2 linked regions of the Macaca fascicularis genome follow. The protein of the gene in region 1 purifies or fractionates together with the protein of each later gene. This does not show direct contact. Links are inferred from orthologs where the notes say so. Each region holds a gene or a part of one and is shown in the gene's direction. Other genes may lie near its edges. The genes, in order: LSM14A and DDX6.

What was found.
Region 2: the proteins of LSM14A (region 1) and DDX6 purify together in Homo sapiens (affinity purification with mass spectrometry; 4 studies listed by BioGRID and IntAct, with this or other methods). This does not show direct contact. The link is inferred for Macaca fascicularis from reciprocal best matches to the Homo sapiens genes LSM14A and DDX6.

What each region holds. Positions count from the first base shown.
Region 1 is NC_088393.1:41,493,597-41,504,890, forward strand, and holds part of LSM14A (protein LSM14 homolog A), read left to right. Parts: intron 1-7,177; coding exon 7,178-7,341; intron 7,342-9,581; coding exon 9,582-9,711; intron 9,712-11,294. UniProt on the Homo sapiens protein: Essential for formation of P-bodies, cytoplasmic structures that provide storage sites for translationally inactive mRNAs and protect them from degradation. Acts as a repressor of mRNA translation. May play a role in mitotic spindle assembly.
Region 2 is NC_088388.1:117,618,277-117,629,570, reverse strand, and holds part of DDX6 (probable ATP-dependent RNA helicase DDX6), read left to right. Parts: intron 1-134; coding exon 135-281; intron 282-2,179; coding exon 2,180-2,274; intron 2,275-5,439; coding exon 5,440-5,562; intron 5,563-6,580; coding exon 6,581-6,709; intron 6,710-8,255; coding exon 8,256-8,372; intron 8,373-9,523; coding exon 9,524-9,587; intron 9,588-11,294.

The sequences.
Region 1 (11,294 bases):
TTTTTTAGAGACAGATTTCGCCATGTTGGCTGGGCTGGTCTCGAACTCCCAGCCTCAGGTGATCTGCCAACTTCACTCTCCCAAAGTGCTGAGACTACAGGTGCGAGCCACCATACCTGGCCTGGAAAATGTTAATAGTGTCATTTGGGGGGTACTAGCTTTACTTAAGTATGTATTTTAAGTATGTAATGTTTATCATGCTTAAAGTTAGAACATTTTTGGTGTTTTATAATGGAGGTATGGTATTGGGAAGTTTGTCACTACAACTCATTTCTCTGGCCTTGTACTATGATTGTATATACAAGTATTGTATACACTAACAACCAGTTTGACATTAGGATGATGTTGAGTTTGTCTAAATCTGGAGACTGGATTAGATGAGTGATTTTGCCAAATAATTTGACCCTGTTTTTGTTTGTTCATTTATTTGTTTGTTTGATGCATGGAATGCATTTCTATTTTAAAAAATCTTTGGTGTTATTTCGAGCTAGAAATAGAAAATTGATTCTTTTCTTGAGACTGATAAAATTATTAGCTAGGCATCATGGCCCACATCTGTAATCCAAGCACTTTGGGAGGGTGTGGTGGATGGATTGCCTGAGCCCAGGAATTGGAGACCAATCTGGGCAACATGGCGAAACCCCATCTCTACAAAAAATTTAAAAATTAGCCAGGTGTAGTGTGTGTGCCTGTAGTCCTAGCTACTCAAGAGACTGAGGTGGGAGGATAACTTGAGCCTGGGAGGTAAAAGTTTCAGTGAGCCGAGATGGCACCACTGCACTCCAGCCTGGACTGGATGACAGAGAAGGGACTCTGTCTCAATAAAAGAAAAAAGAAAGAAAACATTATTAAAGCAATGTAGCAACATGATGAAGTTTAAAATGTAGAGGACAACCGCCCCTAGTTTCCCCATTCTCCCCAACTACTTTTGTCATTTTCTGTATTCTCTTGTAGGCTGTATTTGTAGGTGTGCGTGCTCATGTATGTTTGAAGTTGAAATTCACATAACATGCAATTAACCATTATAAAGTGTACAATTCAGTGGCACTTAGTGTAGTCACAGTGTTGTGCAACTACCACCTCTCCTTGGTTTCAAAACTTTTCATAATCCTACTAAAATAAAATATCCCTAGGCATTAAGTAATCCCTCCTTATTTCCCCCATACCCTGTTAACCACTAACCTGCTTTCTGTCTTCATGGCTTTTCCTATTTAGGGTATATTATGTAAAAGGAATCATACACTGTGTGACGTTTTGTATCTAGCTTCTTTTACTCAGCATAATGCTTTCACGCTTCACTCTTGATGTAACAAGTATCAGCATTGTGGGTTTTTTATGGCTGAATAATATTTCATTACATGTATTTTAAAATATATATAACATACATATAAGATATATAGAGAACGTAATTTGTCTTTTCATTTGTTGATGGGTATTTGGGTTGTTTCTACCATTTGGCTGTTATGAATAATGCTGATATAAACATTTGTATACAAGTTTCTGTGTGGACATAATATAATCTCTGGCACTTTGTTTTGGCAGCCCTAGCAAACTATATTGTGTGCTTTCTTTCCAGTGTAGTGCTTAGCACACTTGCCAGACTATAAGTTCCCTGAGGGTGAGGACATAAATATAATGCCTGCCTAATATTACTTAAATATTCTAAGCCTGCTGAATTATTATTTTCATTAATTCATGATAATCCCCCAGATATCCCAGAATCAGATCAGTATCTATTCAGCTACATTTTGACTTAATAGTAGTAGTATGGCTTAATCTGAAGCCTAATGCTGTGTTAGCTTCAGAGATTAGGATGTTGAGAAACCAATAGTAGTACTTATTAGAGGCATTGCAAGTGGTATTGAGTGTTTAGTGGACCTTCAAATCCAATTCAGTGACATCACATCCAAGTAAGCAAATAGATTGAGCTCCTTGAGAATAGGAACTGGTTTCCCTAGCATCTAGCATAGGACCTGGGACAGGTGGTGCCCAGTAAGTATTTGAAAGAAACGGGATGAAATGCAATGACATACAGCACCTATGTTCAGCTTAAAGCTCTAGTCACATTACCTATGGGTATTTACATTGGAATGTGTAGTTGCTGTAGAATCCCAAAATGAATAATAGAGTAAAAATGTTCTTTCTCAAAGTACTATGTGTTATGAATGAAAAAAATAATAATAATTAGAACATAATTCAGATTTTGCCAGCCAGGCAAAGGCATTTGTGCTGTAATCTGAGGTATGCCTTCCTGCACTAAGAGGAATGGGGTTTATGGGAAAACTAGGATTAGGAGCAGACCATTAGAAATCTGTGCATCTTTGTAATTTAAGCACTAATGTAAACCTAATAAAAAATACTAGTGTGCTTAAAGATAAGTTAAAATTTTTAAACAAATAATTCGGTAAATTTATAACTTTCCCTTTAAAAACAGTAAAGGTAACCAGAAGTGATGGCACTACTCATGGCTAGGTGTATTTAACTGTTGTTACCTGCAAATGCAAAAACTAAATAACATTTTAGGAAAAACTGGAAATGAACCAATGTGATTTCTGAATGTACTGACATAATTCCCTTATTTACTGATTGCATATGAGCTAATGTATGTGTTGTAGTAGAATAGTTCCGGTAGCTCTTTACCTTTTCTATGCTTGTCATGCCTCCTTCCTCTCTACTCTTAATGCTCAAGTTTTAACCTTCCAGACTTCTCATTTGTTCTGTAACAGTATCTTCTAGCCATATGTGCCCTTCTAATCTGTCTTGTGGAATTTGTTCTTCACAATACTACAAGAACTTGATTGCACTGAAAACCCCAAATCTTATTAAGCCAGCCTCCATCATTAGAGCATGTTTCTCAAACTCTTGGTGTGTGCAAATCATTCTTATTCTGTGATTTCTGTTTTCATGCTTTTTCAGTTTGCTTCATTTGCCATATGATAGAGTTTTTCTTCATACCATATTTTGGAAAGTATGCTCTTGGTTTTAAATTCTACTATGGGTTATTTCCAAGACCCATAGTAGAATTTAACAAATTCTTTCAAATAAAAAATTTTAAAGCCTTCGCTTAGTGTCAACTAACCAAAAAAAAAAAAAAAAATGTGTCAAGTGACTCCTACTTGACATGATGAGAGATGAAAGTGTAAGTTTAGATACTACTACTGTCTGTTCAGTTTTCCTTTTTCTCCATTCATTTTAATCTCCCAATTTTTGTTAAAATGTTGTGATATACTGTTCTTAGTTTGTTACACTTTGTAACTTTCTAGTCTTTTCCAGAACTATTTCTATTCTAGAACCATAGTAAATTGTCATGTACACATCTTTGTTTAAATGAATTTATTGTCCATTTCTTATCTTTGGATGCCACTTTTTTTGCATTCTTTATTTTGATATACCATAACATAAGTCTCTGTGGCTTGTAGTGGTCTGATGTTTTTTTTTTTTCCTGGAAATACAGTGAAAACTTTTAATGAAATTTAGACCTTCATGTCAAGACATTTCTATTCTGTTATAACTTTAATTTTATTTTCTCTTATTCTTTTGTCTGTCTCAGGGGCAGTAGTTAACTGTTGGATCTTCATAACTATCATCTTTTCTCTAACCTTTTTATTACTGTACTACTTTTTCATGACATCTCGTTTACGTTTTCTCAAAATTATTGTCTTCTAGTGATTTGGTTTTAACTGCATTGACTGTTGATGCATTTATTAGTTATGCTGTTTTATTTATCTTGTATAATTTTCTTTCCTTAATTCTGCATGCTACCCTTTCAGTGTTGTTTTGATCATAAGAGTCTATGCTGTTTTTCTTGTGAATGTCGAAGCAGTCCTTTCAGAAAATTTCTTCTATTTTCTGTGATAAATACTGATACTGAATGTATTTCATCCACCTTTTGAAGACTGTGTCCTCTCTGTCAGGGCAAACCGCTGGTAGTGGAAAAAAACAGAATAAGCAAATGAAGACCGTGTCCTCTTTGATTCTTCTCTTCTTTCCTGCCTTTTTTCTTTATTTTGATATACCTTTTTCTTTCCTTCCATCATTGCCTCCCTCCTTTCCCTCTTTTCTTCCCTTCTTTCCATCTTTCCTGTAAAATTTATCTTGATTCCCTGATGTTTCTACTTTTTTTTCCTTAGTAGGTCCTTTCAGTATCTGCTGCTTGCGAAAACGTGAAATGCAGATTCTCTTTTACTTCACTCTGAGTTCACCTGGCTAAGCTCTATTAGGCCTTAGGAAGCTTAATAGAGCTTCTCTAGTTTTGTAGAAGAAGGGCCTTTGACTCTTGCCCCCTCTGCTTCAGGATGATCTCATCTGCTACTTTGGAAGCGTGAGACTTTATTCGCTGTGATGGTACTGAGGTTAGGGGTGAGATTGATTTATTTGTAATTAGTCCTTTCTCCTCCTTACCCTTCCTTTTGGATAAAGGTAAAAATATAAAATCCTCCTGCCTGCTAAAGTACTGTTTGGCCACCAGAGAAGGGGAGTTTCAGGTAGGGCGTTCCGCATTTTTTTCCTCATCACACCTGTGTCCCTGTCCCCATCTTAGCAAGTTGAAGATGCTAGTCAAAATTTCTCTCAGGGGAGGAGAGGGCAAGGGATACTTACATATGGATTCTGGGCTTGGTCTTTCAGTTTCAACTAACTCATTCTGTACCTTAATTGTACTGTTTAATAAAATTTCATGGTATGAGTTTGAGAACTTTTCGTGATTTTAGGGATATTTTAACTTCCTTTTTGTTTTTTTCCTTTAGTTTTAGGGAAGGATCTTCTGCCAAACTACCTGTGCCACTATCTTTCCTGAAAGTCTCATAAGTACTAGAAAGAACTTTTAGAATAAGAGTGTAGGACATTATTTACACTGAAATAATATTCTTTTTTAATTATTTATTTATTTTAAGTCAGATTGTTGCTCTGTCACCCAGGCTGGAGTGCAGGGGCACCATCTCGGCTCAGCTCACTGCAACTTCTGCCTCTTGAGTTCTGCCAATCCTCTCACCTCAGCCTCCTGAGCAGCTAGGACTACAGGTGCACACCAACGTGCCCAGCTAATTATTTTTTGTATTTTTTGGTAGAGACAGGGTTTCACCATTTTGTTGAGGCTGGTGTCAAACTCCTGACCTCAAGTGATCTGCCCACCTCGGCCTCCCAAAGTGCTGGAATTACAGGCATGAGCCACTGCATCCAGCCTGACATTCATCCTTAATCTAGCGCTGCATCAGTTCTGCAACAACAACAAAAAAAGCATATGCATTAAAAATGTTAAGGGGGCCAGGCGCGGTGGATCACTTGAGGTCAGGAGTTCTAGACCAGTCTGACCAACATAGTGAAACCTCATCTCCGCTAAAAAAAAAAATACAAAAATTAGCTGGGTGTGGTGGCACACGCCTATAATCCCAGCTACTCGGGAGGCTAAGGCAGGAGAGTCGCTTGAACCCAAGAGGCGGAGGTTACAGTGAGCCGAGATCGCGCCACTGCACTCCAGCCTGGGCAATAGAGTGAGACTCCATCTCAAAAAATAAAAATAAAAAAGGACCGGGTGCGGTGGCTCACGCCTGTAATCCCAGCACTTTGGGAGGCCGAGATGGGCGGATCACGAGGTCAGGAGATCGAGACCGTCCTGGCTAACACGGTGAAACCCCGTCTCTACTAAAAATACGTTTAAAAAAATGAGCCAGGCGTGGTGGCGGGCGCCTGTAGTCCCAGCTACACAGGAGGCTGAGGCAGGAGAATGGTGTGAACCCGGGAAGTGGAGCTTGCAGTGAGTGGAGGTCGTGCCACTGCACTCCAGCCTGGGTGACAAAGCAAGACTCCGTCTCAAAAAAAAAAAAAAAAAATGTTAAGGGGTTTATTACTTCCTTTAGGATACTCTTTAAAATGAATAGTATATGATGTTTCATATTCTCTATTTGGAACTTCTCTATGGATGCAGACATTTTCAGAAATCTCCCAGGACAATGAACCTGAAACTTTTGTATTTATAAGAAACTTGGGATTTGGTTATTTTATTTATTTATTTTGAAATAGGGTCTTGTTCTGTCACCTAGGCTGGAGTGCAGGAGCACAGCCACGGTTCAGTGCAGCCTCAATCTCCCAGACTCAAGAGATCCCCTCATACCTCAGCCTCCTTATAGCTGGGACTACAGGCGTACACTACCACACCTGGCTAATTTTTTTAATTTGTTTTTTTATTTTTTGTAGAGACAGGACATCACTATGTTGCTAGGGCTGGTCTTGAACTCCTGGGCTCAAGCAGTCCTCCCACCTTGACCTCCCAGAGTGCTGGGATTATAGGCGTGAGCCACTGTGCCTAGCCAGAAATTGGCTTAAAATGCAGATTTTTGGACCATGTCCCCAGCAAAAAGATTCAGTAGAAATCTTTATTTGTAGCCAGCTTACTGTGTTGCAGGTGGTCCCTGGTTTAACTTTGAGTAATGCTATCTTCATTGTTAAAATAATCAGATTTAATTATATGGTAGATATTTTAGGTAACTAGGGTATTTCAGGCTGTCCCATGGGCCTGAATAGCTGGCAGCTACTCGGCTTGGCTTCTAGAGGACTTACTGCTCAGCAAGGTAAATAAATTAACAGTGAGCCAGGCACAATGGCACAGGCCTGTAATCCCAGCACTTTGAGAGACTGAAGCAGGAAGATCTCTTGAGGCCAGGAGTTCAAGACCAGCCTGTGCAAAATAGCAAAACCTCATCTCTACTAAAAAATAAAAAAAATTAGCTGGGCTTAGTGGCACATACCTGTGGTCCTAGCTACACGGGATGTTGAGATGGAAGGATTGCCTGAGCCCGGGAAACGGAGGCTGCAGGAAGCCGTGACCACACCACTGCACTCCAGCCTGGGATACAGAGACCCAGGCTCATCAATAAATAAATAAATAAATAAAGGACATTTTAACACCTCACTACAACCACTAAAGATACAAATAAATAAAAATATAAGAGGAGCACAACCTTGTAATACTGATAGTCTTTTATATTGCGTATATTTAACTTCAGGCAAAACCCACTCTATTTTCCTCTTTTAAAAAAATTATTTAGCTATAGATTAATGAATACTTTCTCAGACATTTCAGAACTACTGCTTAGTACTTGAAATACAACACTTAGAATCTGGGGTACTACCTGAATGTAATGAGTAGTCACACATCTCATATCCTTTGTTTTCTTGCCAGTTCGATCCTTTGGTACAGAAGACAGACCGACAGATCGTCCAATACCACCTCGAGATGAAGTCTTTGAATACATTATATTCCGTGGGAGTGACATTAAAGACCTTACTGTTTGTGAGCCACCAAAACCACAGTGTTCTTTGCCTCAAGACCCAGCTATCGTTCAGGTAACTGATGGTAAATTTGTCTTGGAGTACAGGTAAACTCCACACAGGGATAGCCTTGGCTTTTTTCTTTCCAGTTGAATGTTCATGTAGCTTATCATTTTCAAGTTACCTGGATACCTGAAATTACTGGATAATGTTCTCATCTAGGTTTTTCTCTAATCATAAATTAGAACTAAGATAAGAAACAGCTGAAGAATTTGTTATGAAATATTTTCTAATGTCAACAACAATTGCGGTAGCTAACCTTGAAGGCTACGCTGTGGAAGTGGTGTACATATAAGACACCCTCTGAGGTTGGTGCCATAATTATTCTCACTTTTAACAAGTGAAGAAATTCAGGTAGAGTCACTATTTGAACAGATCCAGGCAGCCTGCTTTAGAATCTAGAATCCGTGCTACCATGCTATTGAGATAGGGTTTATATTGCAAACCAGGGCAATAACAGGTACTCTTAGGTAAGATTATTAGGCTTAATGGGGAACAAAAAGCGAAATCACATTGTTCTGCTTATGTTACGATATGCAATGTTGGGGGGTTTTTTTTCTTCCTTTTTTTTTTGAAACAGTCATTGGAGTACAGTGGCGCGAACTCGGCTTACTGCAACCTCCGCCTCCCTGGTTCAAGCGATTCTTCTGCCTCAGCCTCCTGAGTAGCTGGGACTATAGGCACACACCACCACGCCCGGCTAATTCTTGTATTTTTAGTAGAGATGAGGTTTCACCATGTTGGCCAGCCTGGTCTCAAACTCCTGACCTCAGGTGATCCGCCCACCTCAGCCTCCCAAAGTGCTGGGATTACAGGCATGAGCCACTGTGCCTGGCCCACAATGTTATATAATAAGAAAACACAAACATAAATGCATTTTAACATATTTAGGTCAACTCTTAAATCTCCCAATTTAAACTTTTTAATCATCTACTCCTACCCTTGTTAAGTCTTATTTTGGTGAAAGGAAACCTGAAAGAATCGGAGAAAATGTAAATCTCTTTATTTTATTTATTTACTTTTTTTTTGAGATAGAGTTTTGCTCTGTTGCCCAGGTTGCAGTGCAGTGGCGCGATCTCGGCTCACTGCAAGCTCTGCCTCCCGGGTTCATGCCATTCTCCTGCTTCAGCCTCCCAAGTAGCTGGGACTACAGGCGCCTGCCACCACGCCCGGCTAATTTTTTATATTTTTAGTAGAGACGGGGTTTCACCGTGTTAGCCAGGATGGTCTCGATCTCCTGACCTCGTGATCCACCCGCCTCAGCCTCCCAAAGTGCTGGGATTACAGGCGTGAGCCACCGCGCCTGGCCGAAAATGTAAATCTCTTTAAATGGAGAAGGAAGAGACACTTTCTTAATAGAGATAGCTCCCTACACCAAACACTGGTGTTACCTTACCGTCTCTTTTATATGGCTTTCGATAATTCTCCAGGAAACCAGTTATTTGAGTAATCAGTTTTATAGAAGGAGAAAAACTAAGAGAGTGCATATGAAAATGGTGTTGAGTAACTTCTTCCAGTCATCACAAACTTCTGCTTGATCTTCTTATTCATTCATTCCGTAGTATTTACAGAGTGTCTGGCATGTACTTAACACTAGTAGTGAACACAAAGAAAAGGTCCTGCCATCAGTGAATGTATGTCCTGGTAGCCTTTAATACACTTCATGTTTATATTATGAAACAGTTTATAATAAGATAATATATGAAGTACATGTATTAGTATATGTTATATATTTTATATGCTTTAGGTTTAAGTTAGTTTTTATAAAATGTTCCTCCACTTAATATAAGTAAACATGTAAATGGTTTTATGTGGGATATGTTTGTTTCTGCATCTCTTTCATGTGAATATAATAGTAGGCCTCAAATGATTGAAAATAAGAGTGAAATCACATGTGAGATTTATATCAGCATCAGACTAAAACCCATTATTACTAAGTGTGATTTTTCTCATATTTTTCTTTAAGCAAAGTTACTGTACTTAAGTAACTTTCTTTCCTCAATCTATAAAACTCTTAAATGGGGAGTTTAGTGTAGAAAAAGTATTCGTAAGTTACATTGAGTATAATTGGCACATTATAGACAAATATTGAAATCAGAAGGTCGTTTGGCTATTTTAATGTTAAGTGCATGTTGTAATTCGTTTTATATTTAGTAGTTTTAATAGTTTTCTTAAAAGTGTAAAAATCTGGAAATTTTTTTCATTATATACATGTTGCTTAGAGCTTGGAAAGATAACTCATGATTTTCCTTCAGTCCTCACTAGGCTCATCGACTTCTTCATTCCAGTCCATGGGTTCTTACGGGCCTTTCGGCAGGATGCCCACATACAGTCAGTTCAGTCCAAGTTCCTTAGTTGGGCAGCAGTTTGGTGCTGTTGGTGTTGGTATGTTTTCTTTTTCTTTTATTTTTTTGTTTGTTTTTGTATTCTTCCTTTCTTTGAGTTTATAGAAACTCAACACAAACTTTTAGAAATGTTGTTTGATGTTTCCTTTTGTAACTTTGTTTTATGGCATTCAGAACATATTTTGATGATATCTTAAAGCCTTTATTTAATATTCTTAATGATATTAGTGGGTTTTTAAAAGTCAGTTTTCACGAGGTAACATTTTTTTTACACCTGGGTATATCCAGTATCTACCAAATCTTATTGGTAATTGGATTTTTTTTTTTTTTTTTTTTTTTTTTTAAGACAAAGTCTCACTCTGTCACTCAGGCTGAAGTCCAGTGGCACTATCTTGGCTCACTATAACCTCCGCCTCCTGGGTTTAAGCAATTCTCGTGCCTTAGCCTCACAAGTAGCTGGGATTACAGTATGTATCACCACACCTAGCTAATTTTTGTATTTTCAGTAGAGGTGGGGTTTCACCATGTTGACCAGGCTGGTCTTGAACTCCTGACCTCAGGTGAGCCCCTGTGCCTGGCCTGGATTTTAATTAATCAATTTTTTTTTTCTTTTTTTTTTTTTTGAGGCAGAGTCTCACTCTGTTGCCCAGGCTGGAGTACAGTGGCATGATCTCCACTAACTGCAACCTCCATCTCCCAGGTTTAAGCAGTGCTCCTGCCTCAGCCTCCTGAGTAGCTGGGATTACCGGTGTGCACCACCACTCCCGGCTAATTTTTTTGTATTTTTAGTAGAGATGGGGTTTCACCATGTTGGCCAAGCTGGTCTCGAACTCCTGACCTCAAGTGATCCACCCACTTCAGCCTCCCAAAGTGCTGGGATTACAGGCATGTGCCACCAAGCCTGGCCTAAAACGTTTATTTTAAACATACATAAGACATGCACACATAAAGATACACATAGCATGATTGAGGGCTTGGTGTTTTGTTTCTGTAACACTGGGTTTGAAACAAAACTAATGAGAATGTATAGCAGGGCTGAGCGAATGACAGGCTTACTTACGGCTGGAGGGTCAAGGGCTATTGAGTGCAAAAGCTGGATGTAATCAGATTAGCTCAGTGTTGTTTTGTTTTTATAGCTGTGCATTTTAGTGTTTAAGTACACCTTTATTCCCACGGTAAAGAACAGCTTTAAAAAAAAAAAGCAACTTTAAATCTCAAGCTTTTGCCCCTAATCTTTTAAAATTTCTTTGAAATAATTATATTATCAGTTTACTGTTTCACTGCACCACAAATTTAGTTTCAGGTGTATCTTGACACTCATTAATATGCTAACAAGTTTTATTAATATTATTAAATTCCTTCCAATGAATATACTTTTTATACAGGTGTGACTTAAGCATTTAAATGTTTTACTTATTCACAAAATAAAAAAGAACGGCAAAAAAAGCAAACTAAAACTGAATGAGCTGGGCGCGGTGGCTCACGCCTGTAATGCCAGCACTTTGGGAGACTAAGGCGGGATAGATCACCTGAAGTAGGGATTTCGAGACCAGCCTGGCCAACATGGAGAAACCGCACCTCTACTAAAAATACAGAATTAGCTGGACGTGGTGGTGCATGCCT
Region 2 (11,294 bases), on another chromosome or scaffold:
GGGATTACAGGCTTGAGCCACTGCATCATAAGGGGCAGTATTTCTGTAGCTTCTTGAATTTTGTAAATATAATGTATAGTATGTTCTCCCACCTCACCCCATATTTTCTCATATGTTCCTTGATGTTGTTTCAGCAATGGTGATTGTTCCCACTAGAGAACTTGCTCTACAGGTCAGTCAAATTTGCATCCAGGTCAGCAAACACATGGGAGGGGCCAAAGTGATGGCAACCACAGGAGGAACCAATTTACGAGATGACATAATGAGGCTTGATGATACAGGTAAGAAATGATTACTAAAAGGTAGTGTAGCTCTCTGTAATTTTAGTCTCAAGTGTTTCAGTAAATTATTAAAAATTATTTTTAAGAATTAAGGAACAGAAATCCTGCAGTAAAAAAAGGAAATGACCATTGCATTCAAGAGAAAAAAACAGATTGACGGTAATTGAAAGCAATATTTGACTTTATTACTAATTCTAAAACAGCAAGTTTATAGTAATTTTACCTGTTTAATTGGTAAAGCTAAAAGTAGTAGTAGACATTAATGTGAGTTTGTGGAGAAATAGGCTATGTTGTAAACGTGGGGGTGTCAACTTATCTCTATCATGAGCAATTTGGCAGTCTTATTTTAAAATTATAAATTATATTTTTAAGAATCTTTCCTGAAGAAAAAAGTTGGGTAAATGTAGGGCTGTATGTACAAAGTTGTTTACTATGGGGTGGTTTGTCGTGCCAAAAAATTGGACCAACTTAGAAGGAGATTGGCTAAATAAATACATTATAGTCTGAATAGTATTCTACATAGTCATTAAGGAGTGAAGTTGATCTGTATTCATTTTCATTAAGATTTTCATGATACATTGCTGAGTGGAAAAAGGTAACAAAACAGCAAGAATGAGATCACTCATAAAATTATATCTAAAATTTTAGTTAGAATACTATATATAATTATGTGATATATTCTTTGTATTGCATAGGTTTTTTAAAAATTGTTATCTTGTTTGATCCTTTTAACAATACTCGGTTCACTGTTCCAGATTAGAGGCATTGCTTTTATGTCAGAAGTCTGGTGTGCCTTCTGTTATTAATTGGGAATTACCCTAAGACAAGAAAGTATGCCTCCTGTTGGAAGCAGGTGATTTGGGAAGCTGTACCCCACCCAGTGTAGAGGTGAAAAGTATTTTTTAAGCATCCTGCGGTGAAATGGAAGACTTTATCCTAAAACACATCTTTGGACCTTTTTGTGTTATTCCCACCTCTATAACACAATGTGTTTCTTTTCTTTTTTTTTTTTTTTTTTTTTTTTTTTTTTTTTTTTTTTTTTTTTTTCTGAGACGGAGTCTCGCTCTGTCACCCAGGCTGGAGTGCAGTGGCCGGATCTCAGCTCACTGCAAGCTCCGCCTCCCGGGTTCACGCCATTCTCCTGCCTCAGCCTCCCGAGTAGCTGGGACTACAGGCGCCTGCCACCTCGCCCGGCTAAGTTTTTGTATTTTTAGTAGAGACGGGGTTTCACTGTGTTACCCAGGATGGTCTCGATCTCCTGACCTCGTGATCCGCCCGTCTCGGCCTCCCAAAGTGCTGGGATTACAGGCTTGAGCCACCGCGCCCGGCCGTGTTTCTTTTCTTTCTTTTTTTTTTTTTTAATTTGAGGCACAGTCTTACTCTGTTGCCCAGGCTGGAATGCAGTGGTGTGGTCTCGGCTCACTGCAACCTCTGCCTCCTGGGTTCAAGCGATTCTCCTACCTCAGCCTCCTGAGTAGCTGGGATTACAGGCTCCCACCACCACACCCAGCTAATTTTTGTACTTTTAGTAGAGACAGGGTTTCACCATGTTGACCAGGCTGGTCTCGAACTCCTGACCTCATGTGATCCACCCACCTGGGCCTCCCAAAGTGCTGGAATTACATGGATGAGCCACGGTGCCCGGCCTAGTGTTTCTGATAAAAGATAGTCATGTGCTGCATAACAATGTTTTGATCAGTGACAGACCGCATGTATGTCGGTGTTCCCATAAGATTATAATGGAGCTATACAGTGGAGTAGGCTGTACCATCGCATAGCAATGCATTTCTCAGAATTATCATTAAGCAACTGAGGACTGTAATATGATAAACCTTTACAATATCCTTTTTGCCCAAATTAAAATTAATGAGAATATATGTTTTCTAAATCTTGCATAGTGCACGTGGTGATTGCTACCCCTGGGAGAATCCTGGATCTTATTAAGAAGGGAGTAGCAAAGGTTGATCATGTCCAGATGATAGTGTTGGATGAGGTAATATCTCTTCATTTGGCATTATACTATTCTGTACTTTTCTGTGCTTTGCTTATAACTGCCAGTGAATGAAGCAAAAGCTGCTTGTGTTTATGATCTAGTAAACACATAAGCGATCAGTTTAAATTAATTTGCTTATAAAATGTGTTTTACCTGTCAGCGGGAGTAGATTATAGGCATTCATTGGAATTCTCCTTTTTGTCTTTTTCTTAGAGATAGCAGAGATTAGGTTTTATTTTCATTTTTTAGAAGAGGAGTGAATAACCGCAAAGCCAAATTTATTCTACATCTCTTTCTACTCGGCGATTAATTTTTTTTTTTTTTTTTTTTTTTTTTGAGACGGAGTCTCGCTCTGTTGCCCAGGCTGGAGTCCAGTGGCCGGATCTCAGCTCACTGCAAGCTCCGCCTCCCGGATTTATGCCCATTCTCCTGCCTCAGCCTCCCGAGTAGCTGGGACTACAGGCACCCGCCACCTCGCCCAGCTAGTTTTTTGTATTTTTTAGTAGAGACGGGGTTTCACCATATTAGCCAGAATGGTCTCCATCTCCTGACCTCGTGATCCGCCTGTCTCAGCCTCCCAAAGTGCTGGGATTACAGGCCTGAGCCACCGTGCCCAGCCTCGGCGATTAATTTTTAAAAGCATATAATATATATTGTCTCCTTTTGTGCATACTACTTTGTAGTGTTTGGTTATTAATCTCTGTTAGACATATTATCTCACCATGTTATAAATGCCTTTTAAAAACTTATTAAAATCTGTAGTCCTGGGATCTAGCCATGTTTTGTACATATATAGATGGTCCCTGACTTACGATGGTTCACTTTATGGTTTTTCAGTGGAAGTGATAAGCTTTTATTAGAAACCGTACTTTGAATTCTTAAGATTAATTTTTTTCCTGGTTAGTAATATGCTATATGATATTCCCATGATGCTGGGCATCAGCAGCAAACTGCAGCTCCCAGTCAGCCACATGATCATTGAGGGTAGACAGCTGATACTGTACAGTATACGGTGTTGTCAAGTGATTTTGCCCAACTATAAGCTAAGTGGAGCATGTTTCAAGGAGGCTAGGCTAAGTGATGATGTTCAGTAGGTTTGGGTAGTATTTTCAACTTAGGATGAATTTATCAGAACATAATCCCATTGTAAGTCAAGGAGGATCTGTAGTGTATCAGTGTTAATGTTTTGACATGAGGTTATTTTCACATTTGGTTTGTGTTTTATTATTATTACTATTTTTTTGAGACAGACTCACTCTGTTACCCAGACTGGAGTGCAGTGGCGTGATCTCGGCTCACTACAATCTCTGCCTCCCGGCTTCAAGTGATCCTCATGCCTCAGCCTCCTGAGTAGCTGAGATTACAGATGTGTACTACCCACACTTGGCTAATTTTTGTATTTTTAGTAGAGGCAGGTTTTCGCCGTGTTGGCCAGGCTAGTCTTGAACTCCTGACCTCAGGTGATCCTCCCGCCTCGGCCTCTCAAAGTGCTGGGATTGCAGGTGTGAGCCACCACACCCGGCCTGGTTTGTGTTTTAGGTAACATTTAATTCAAATCAGGCTTTTATCTTTAAGTAATGAGAGAAAACATTTATTAGTCACTGGGTACCAACACTAAGTGCTTTACTTTTTTTTTTTTTTTTTTTCATTTAATCTTTACAAGAAACCTATAAGGTAGGTGTCCTGTCAAGTAGTTACTATAGTATGTAGACATCCAGATTTTAATTTGCTTATAAAATATGTTTTATACTTCAGATGCAGTAGTTAGGCATTCGTAGGAATTCAGCTTTTGTCTTTTTCTTACACTTGCCAGAGTTTAGGTTTAATTTTTAAGAAGAGGAGTGGCTGGATAACTTGAAAGCCGAGTTTTTTCTTTTTTGTTGTTTTGGTTTGGTTTGGTTTGGTTTTTTTTTGAGACGGAGTCTCTTTGCCCAGGTTGGAGTGCAGTGGCACAACCTCAGCTCACCGCAACCGCAACCTCAACCTTGTTCAAGCGATTCTCCTGCCTCAGCCTCTCGAGTAGCTCGGATTACAGGCATGTGCCACCATGCCCGGCTAATTTTATATTTTTAGTAGAGACAGGGTTTCTCCATGTTGGTCAGGCTGGTTTTGAACTCCTGACCTCAATGCTTTGCCCGCCTCAGCCTCCCAGTGTGCTGGGATTACAGGTGTGAGCCACCACACCTGACCTTAGCCAAGTTTTTTCTAAATCCCTGTAAAGTAGTTACTACATGATGTAAACATCCAAATTTTAGTTTTACAGTTTTACAGTTGTGGAAACTGAAGTACAGAGTAGTTCTGTAACATTCCCACACAGCTAAGAAATGAAGGAGGCAAGATTTCAACCTGGCAGTTTAGCTCCAGAATCTGTACTTTTTTTTGAGACAGAGTCTTGCTTTGTTGCCCAGGCTGAAGTGCAGTGGTGTGATCTCGGCTCACTGCAACCTCCACTTCCCAGGTTCAAGCAATTATTCTGCCCCAGCCTCCCAAGTAGCTGGGATTACAGGTGCAATCCACCACACCCTGCTAATTTTTGTATATTTAGTAGAGATGGGGTTTCACCATGTTTGTCAGGCTGGTCTCGAACTCTTGACCTCGTGATCCTCCTGCCTCGGCCTCCCAAAGTGCTGGGATTACAGGCGTGAGCCACCGTGCACAGACAGAACCTGTACTTTCAAACACATATACAATACTACCTCTTTAATGAGAATCATCACATTAAAATTCTGTTGAGCTGGGCTTGGTGGTATGTGCCTGTAGTCCCAGCTTCTCAGTAGGTTGGTAGGCTGAGGCAAGATGATCACTTGAGCCCAGGAGGTTCAGGCTGCATACAGTAAGCTATGATTATGCCACTGCATCCCATCCTGGGTGACAGAGTGAAATGCTGTCTCTAAAAATAAATTAATTAATTAAATTCTGTTATAGAAGGGGGGAGGTTTATCTGTGTAGTGTAGAATTTTTTTTTCCCCTAGAAGATGGGGATCATAGATTCTGCCCCCTTATGCATATTTGACTCTGCAGTGTTGGAGAGAATTTATTGTTTTCCACCAGGAACATTTCATGGATGCTTTTGTTGGATGATGCCTTATTCTTTGACCATGTATTAACCAAAGACCTTAGACATTATTTTATTGTTTTTAAAATTGTCTTTTCTTTCTACTGCAGGCAGATAAGTTGCTGTCACAGGATTTTGTGCAGATAATGGAGGATATTATTCTCACGCTACCTAAAAACAGGCAGATTTTACTATATTCCGCTACTTTCCCTCTTAGTGTACAGAAGTTCATGGTGAGTATAAATCTGTACTTGGAATCAGTGCCATCCTATGATCTATGAGTATGCTTTTATTCATAATTACATCTTCCTATCTGTGAAAATACTTTATACTAATTATTTCAAGCCTTTGGCTCTTTCTTCAGTTGATCAATTAAAGATTTGTTTTACATAAATTAACTGACTTTTTAAGAAGGTTGTAATAGTAATTAATTAAATTCCTCATTTTTCTCTTAGTTTTTGGTGTCATGATGACATAGCCATTGGTGCTAGCTGAATTGATTCCAGTATTATTCTATATACAAAATAGAGTTTGAGTATCGTAAACTGAAATCCAAAATACTGCAGAATTTGAAACCTTTTGAGCCACAAACATGATGCTAAAAGGAAATGTTCTTTTGATTTTGAATTTTCAAATTAAGAATGCTCAGTCACTAAGTGTAATGCGCATATTCCAAAATTAGAAAAAATTTAAAACCTGAAACGCTTTTGTTCCTGAGCATTTTGGATAAGGAATACTTAACCTGTAGTAACTTAGCTGCATTTTTGAGATCTTATATCTTAATTTATTTCTAACGTGTCTTGCGTGGTGACTCAGGCCTGTAATCCCAGCACTTTGGGGGGCCAAGGTGGGCAGATCACAAGGTCAGGAGTTCGAGACCAGCATGGGCAACATGGTGAAACCCCCGTCTCTACTAAAAATACAAAAATAAGTCTGTTGTGGCAGCGTGTGCCTGTAATCCCAACTACTCGGGAGGCTGAGGCAGGAGAATCACTTGAACCCAGGAGGTGGAGGTTGCAGTGAGTGGAGATGGTGCCACTACACTCCAGCCTAGGTGATAGCAAGACTCCATCTCAGGGCAGCGGGGGGAAAATTCTGTAATGACAGATCATATATTTTGTTTTGAAGAGAGTTGCATCCCTTATAGCAAGAGTTGATTAGACAGAAACCTATAGGGTGGGTATATTTTGAATTTGAGATGAACTCTGCTTTCATTTAAGAAGAACCATCTTTTTTTTTCTCCCCTCCCAGAATTCCCATTTGCAGAAACCCTATGAGATTAACCTGATGGAGGAACTAACTCTGAAGGGAGTAACCCAGTACTACGCATATGTAACTGAGCGCCAAAAAGTACACTGCCTCAACACACTTTTCTCCAGGGTAAGAAGTAGGCTTCTGCTGTTGAATATTATCTCTCGAGTCCCAGTAAAACAGATTATTTCATCAGTTTTCCTACCATCTTCACTGTATAAAAGTTCATAGTGTTTCTGGCTTGGCGTGGTAGCTCATGCCTGTAATCCCAGCATTTTGGGAGGCTGAGGCAGGCGGATCACGAGGTCAGGAGTTCGAGACCAGCCTGGCCAACATGGAGAAACCCCGTCTCTACTACAAAAAAACAAAAAAACTAGCTGGGCGTGGTGGTGCGTGCCCATAATCCCAGCTACTTGGGAGGCTGAGGCAGGAGAATTGCTTGAACCCAGGAGGCAGAAGTTGCAGTGAGCCAAGATCACGCCATTGCACTCCAGCTCTGGGCGACAGAGCAAGACTCCATCTCGGGAAGGAAAAAAAAAGTTTTTAAAAAATTCATAGTGTTTCCTAAAAGGCAGTTTTAATTGTTGACCTAAAGTTGATACTAAATGATTAACAAGTCACAGATACACTTTTGAATAGTTTCTGAAATACTTAGACCTTTACTAGGGTTAATACTCATTATTCACATATTCTGTATTTGTGAGTTTGCTTAGTCACTAGAATTTATTTGTAACTCCAGAATTAATACTCAAGGCAGTTTAGCAGTCATTTGTGGACGTGTACAGTGTGGCAAAGAGTTTAAGTCACCTGACACGCACATACCCAGCTGAGGTTGAAGAAGACAATGCTCTGTCCTCTTGTTTAGCTCTCATACTGTGAACAAGTATCCTTTTCACTGTGCCATATTTTTCAAATTTTTGTTGCTGATTTCACGGTTTTAATTGACCCCTACTCATGGTGCTGAAGTGCTGCCCAGTGCTAGTGGCATTGGTTGTGAGTATATTAAAGATGTTCTTGGCTGGGCACGGTGGCTCACACCTGTAATCCCAGCACTTTGGAAAGCTGAGGTGGGCAGACACCTGAGGTCAGGAGTTCGAGACCAGCCTGACCAACATGCTGAAACCCCGTCTCTACTGAAAATACAAAAATTAGCCAGGCATGGTGGTGGGTGCCTGTAATCCCAGCTCCTCAGGAGGCTGAGGCTGGAGAATCCCTTGAACCCAGGAGGTGGAGGTTGCAGTGAGCTAAGATTGTACCATTGCACTCCAGCCTGGGCAACAAGAGTGAAACTCCATTTCTCTCTCTCTCTCTCTCTCTCTCTCTCTCTCTCTCTCTCTCTCTCTCTCACACACACACACACACACACACACACACACACACACACACGTATTCTTAAATGGAAAAACAAAACATAACTACTTGGAATCAGATAATCAATTGTATTACTCTTGTTGACAGTTATGTGGCCCTTAAGAAATATACTCTAATACAATAAATCTTAGATATTATTATATTCCATCTATTAAAGTACTTAGAATTTACCATCTCTCTCATATCATAAGATTCTAAATTTTAGACCATGTTAATGTTTCTTGTTTGCTGGTTAGTGTTTTCAAGATTTGGCAAGCCAAATGAAGGTTTTAATTTTTCTCATACTTATTTTTTCTGTGCTCAGCTTCAGATAAACCAGTCGATCATTTTCTGTAACTCCTCTCAGCGAGTTGAATTACTAGCCAAGAAGATTTCTCAACTGGGTTATTCTTGCTTCTATATTCATGCTAAAATGAGGCAGGTGAGTATAAAACTAGAACTTGCACAAATTTAACAAGAAATCTCTGATTTTATTTTGTTTTAATGTTCTTTTAAATGTCCTGAGTTTAAGAATAAACTGTTCCTTAGTAGCCAAAGGACCTTTCATTTTGACCTACCTAAGGTTCATTTTCTAGCAATAAAATAGAGATAATAGTACATATTCATAACTTACAAGGTAGTTAGGAAAATTAAGGTAAATGTTTAAATTTGTAAGCTGTCAGGCATAATACAAATGTAAAATTGTATTCTTCCTTTCATTCCCATGTTTAATTCTCTGTTTAATCCAGTAACCACTAGCCACATGTGGCCATTTAAATCAGTTAAAATTAAAATAAGGCCGGGCGTGGTGGCTCAAGCCTGTAATCCCAGCACTTTGGGAGGCCGAGACGGGCGGATCACGAGGTCAGAAGATCGAGACCATCCTGGCTAACACAATGAAACCCCGTCTCTACTAAAAATACAAAAAAATTAGCCGGGCGAGGTGGTGGGCGCCTGTAGTCCCAGCTACTCGGGAGGCTGAGGCAGGAGAATGGCGTAAACCCGGGAGGCGGAGCTTGCAGTGAGCCGAGATAGCGCCACTGCACTCCAGCCTGGGCGACAGAGCGAGACTCTGTCTCAAAAAAAAAAAAAAAAAAATTAAAATAAAAAGTCAGTTTCTCAATCACAGCCACGTTTCAAGTGCTCAGTTAGGCACCTGTTGCTGCTGGATACTGTATTGGAAGTGGAAGTACAGACACAAACATTTCCTTTATTACAGAAATTTCTACTGGACAGCATTGCTCTGGATTTTTAAATATGGCCCCTCAGCTAGCTGATTTTTCTTTTTTCTTTACTGTTTGCCTTTAGAGAAAGATGCAATGTCTAAATTTCAGAATTTGATTTAGCAAAAAATAATTTAAAACTTAACAAAATGACTTTTTGTTAACTACATTATGAAATTTCGTAAGTAAACAGTTTCTGTAGATGAAGAGATCAATAACTTAACTCATATTTGGTTTTGAAAGCAGCTTAATGTCATGGATCACTTATAAACAGGTTTTGGGTAGAACCGATCGACTAGGAGAAATAATCATGGGAAATTTGGGGCTGTATATGAGTGCTAATCAAATGGAATAAATTGCTTTCTCCTAGGAACATCGAAATCGTGTATTTCATGATTTCCGAAATGGCTTATGCCGCAATCTTGTTTGCACTGGTAAGTATTTTTGTATTTCCTTTACCCAGTGTTTTTCTCCCAAGTTCTTTTTTGCTTTCTTTGTTCATACTGCACGGTGCACCCTGTGACATAGTCCAGCACACCCTACCAATACTTCTAGGATTTCTTTTTTTTTTTTTTTTTGGTGGGGGGGGTGGATGGAGTTTGTGTCACCCAGACTGGAGTGCAGTGGCATAATCTCAGCTCACTGAAACTTCCACCACCTGGGTTCAAGTGATTCTCCTGCCTCAGCCTCCCAAGTAGCTGGGATTGTGGGCACCCGCTGCCACACTCAGCTAATTTTTGGTAGAGATGGGGGTTTCACCATGTTGGCCAGGCTGGTCTTGAACTCCTGACCTCAGGTGATCCGCCTGCCTCGGCCTCCCAAAGTGCTGGGATTACAGGTGTGAGCCACCGCGTCCAACAGTTGGGCTTTTAAAAATCATTACTTGCTTGCAAGGTTTCTTCAGATAAGTTCTTGAAGGACCAATACTGAAGGGCATATATAAAATACCACCCCTTTGGGGGAGTGTGGTTTAATTGGAGAGATAAAAAGGTAAACATTAGGAGTCTAAGGAAGCGCCCACATACTTTTCCTATGAAGTGCCAAATAGTAAATTTTTTAGAGTTTGCACATTAATTGGTCTTTATTACAGAGTTTTGCTATTGTAGCTCAGAAGTAGCCTAGACAATACATAAACAAATGGGCATGGCTATATTGTAGTAAAACTGTTTACAAAATCATTCACTGGACTAGATCCACAAGGCAGTAAAGGTGACTTGCAAATGGGAAGTATGTGTATAGTAAGTAATCCCAAGTGTTCGTAGCAGAGTAATATAATTGGCTGAGGTGGTTTGAGAAGAGATGAGATTTTAATTGGCTTTCTAGGCTAGGTAAGTTTTAAACACATGGATTAAGTTTTAGGGGACTGATGGTCAGATGGCTAAGAAGATAAGTTTGATAGAGAAGAAAAACTGAGATGTGTTAGGGAAGTAAATTAGGACAAAGCATAGCATGGAGGACTTTGTTGTTGTTGTTACTCTTGTTGTTGTTGAGACGGAGTTTCGCTCTTGTTGCCCAAACTGGAGTGCAGTGGCACAATCTCGGCTCACTGCAGCTTCCACCTCCCAGGTTCAAGTGATTCTCGCGCCTCAGCCTCCCGAGGAGCTGAGACTACAGGCGCACACCACCATGCCCAGCTATATTTTGTATTTTTTGTAGAAGGAGTGTTTCACCATGTTGGCCAGGCTAATCTCCAACTCCTAACCTCAAGTGATGCACCCACCTCTGCCTCCCCAAAGTGCTGGGATTACAGGTGTGAGCCACCAAGCCCTGCCTGGAGGACTTTGAATATCAGTCTATTTTTTTTTAAATTTATTTTTTTGAGACGGAGTTTTACTCTTGTTGCCCAGACTGGAGTGCAATGGCGCGATCTCGGCTCGCCACAACCTCTGCCTCCCAGGTTCAAGCGATTCTCCTGCCTGAGCCTCCCGAGTAGCTGGGATTACAGGCACCCGCCACCACGTCCAGCTAACTTTTTTTTTTTTTTTTTTTGGGTAGAGACGGGTTTCTTCATTTTGGTCAGGCTGGTCTCAAATTCCTGACCTCAGGTGATCCACTGAGCTCGGCCTCCCAAAGTGCTGGGATTACAGGCTTGAGTGCACCCAGCCTCTTTTAGACATATTTTTAAAAACTTGCTTACAATT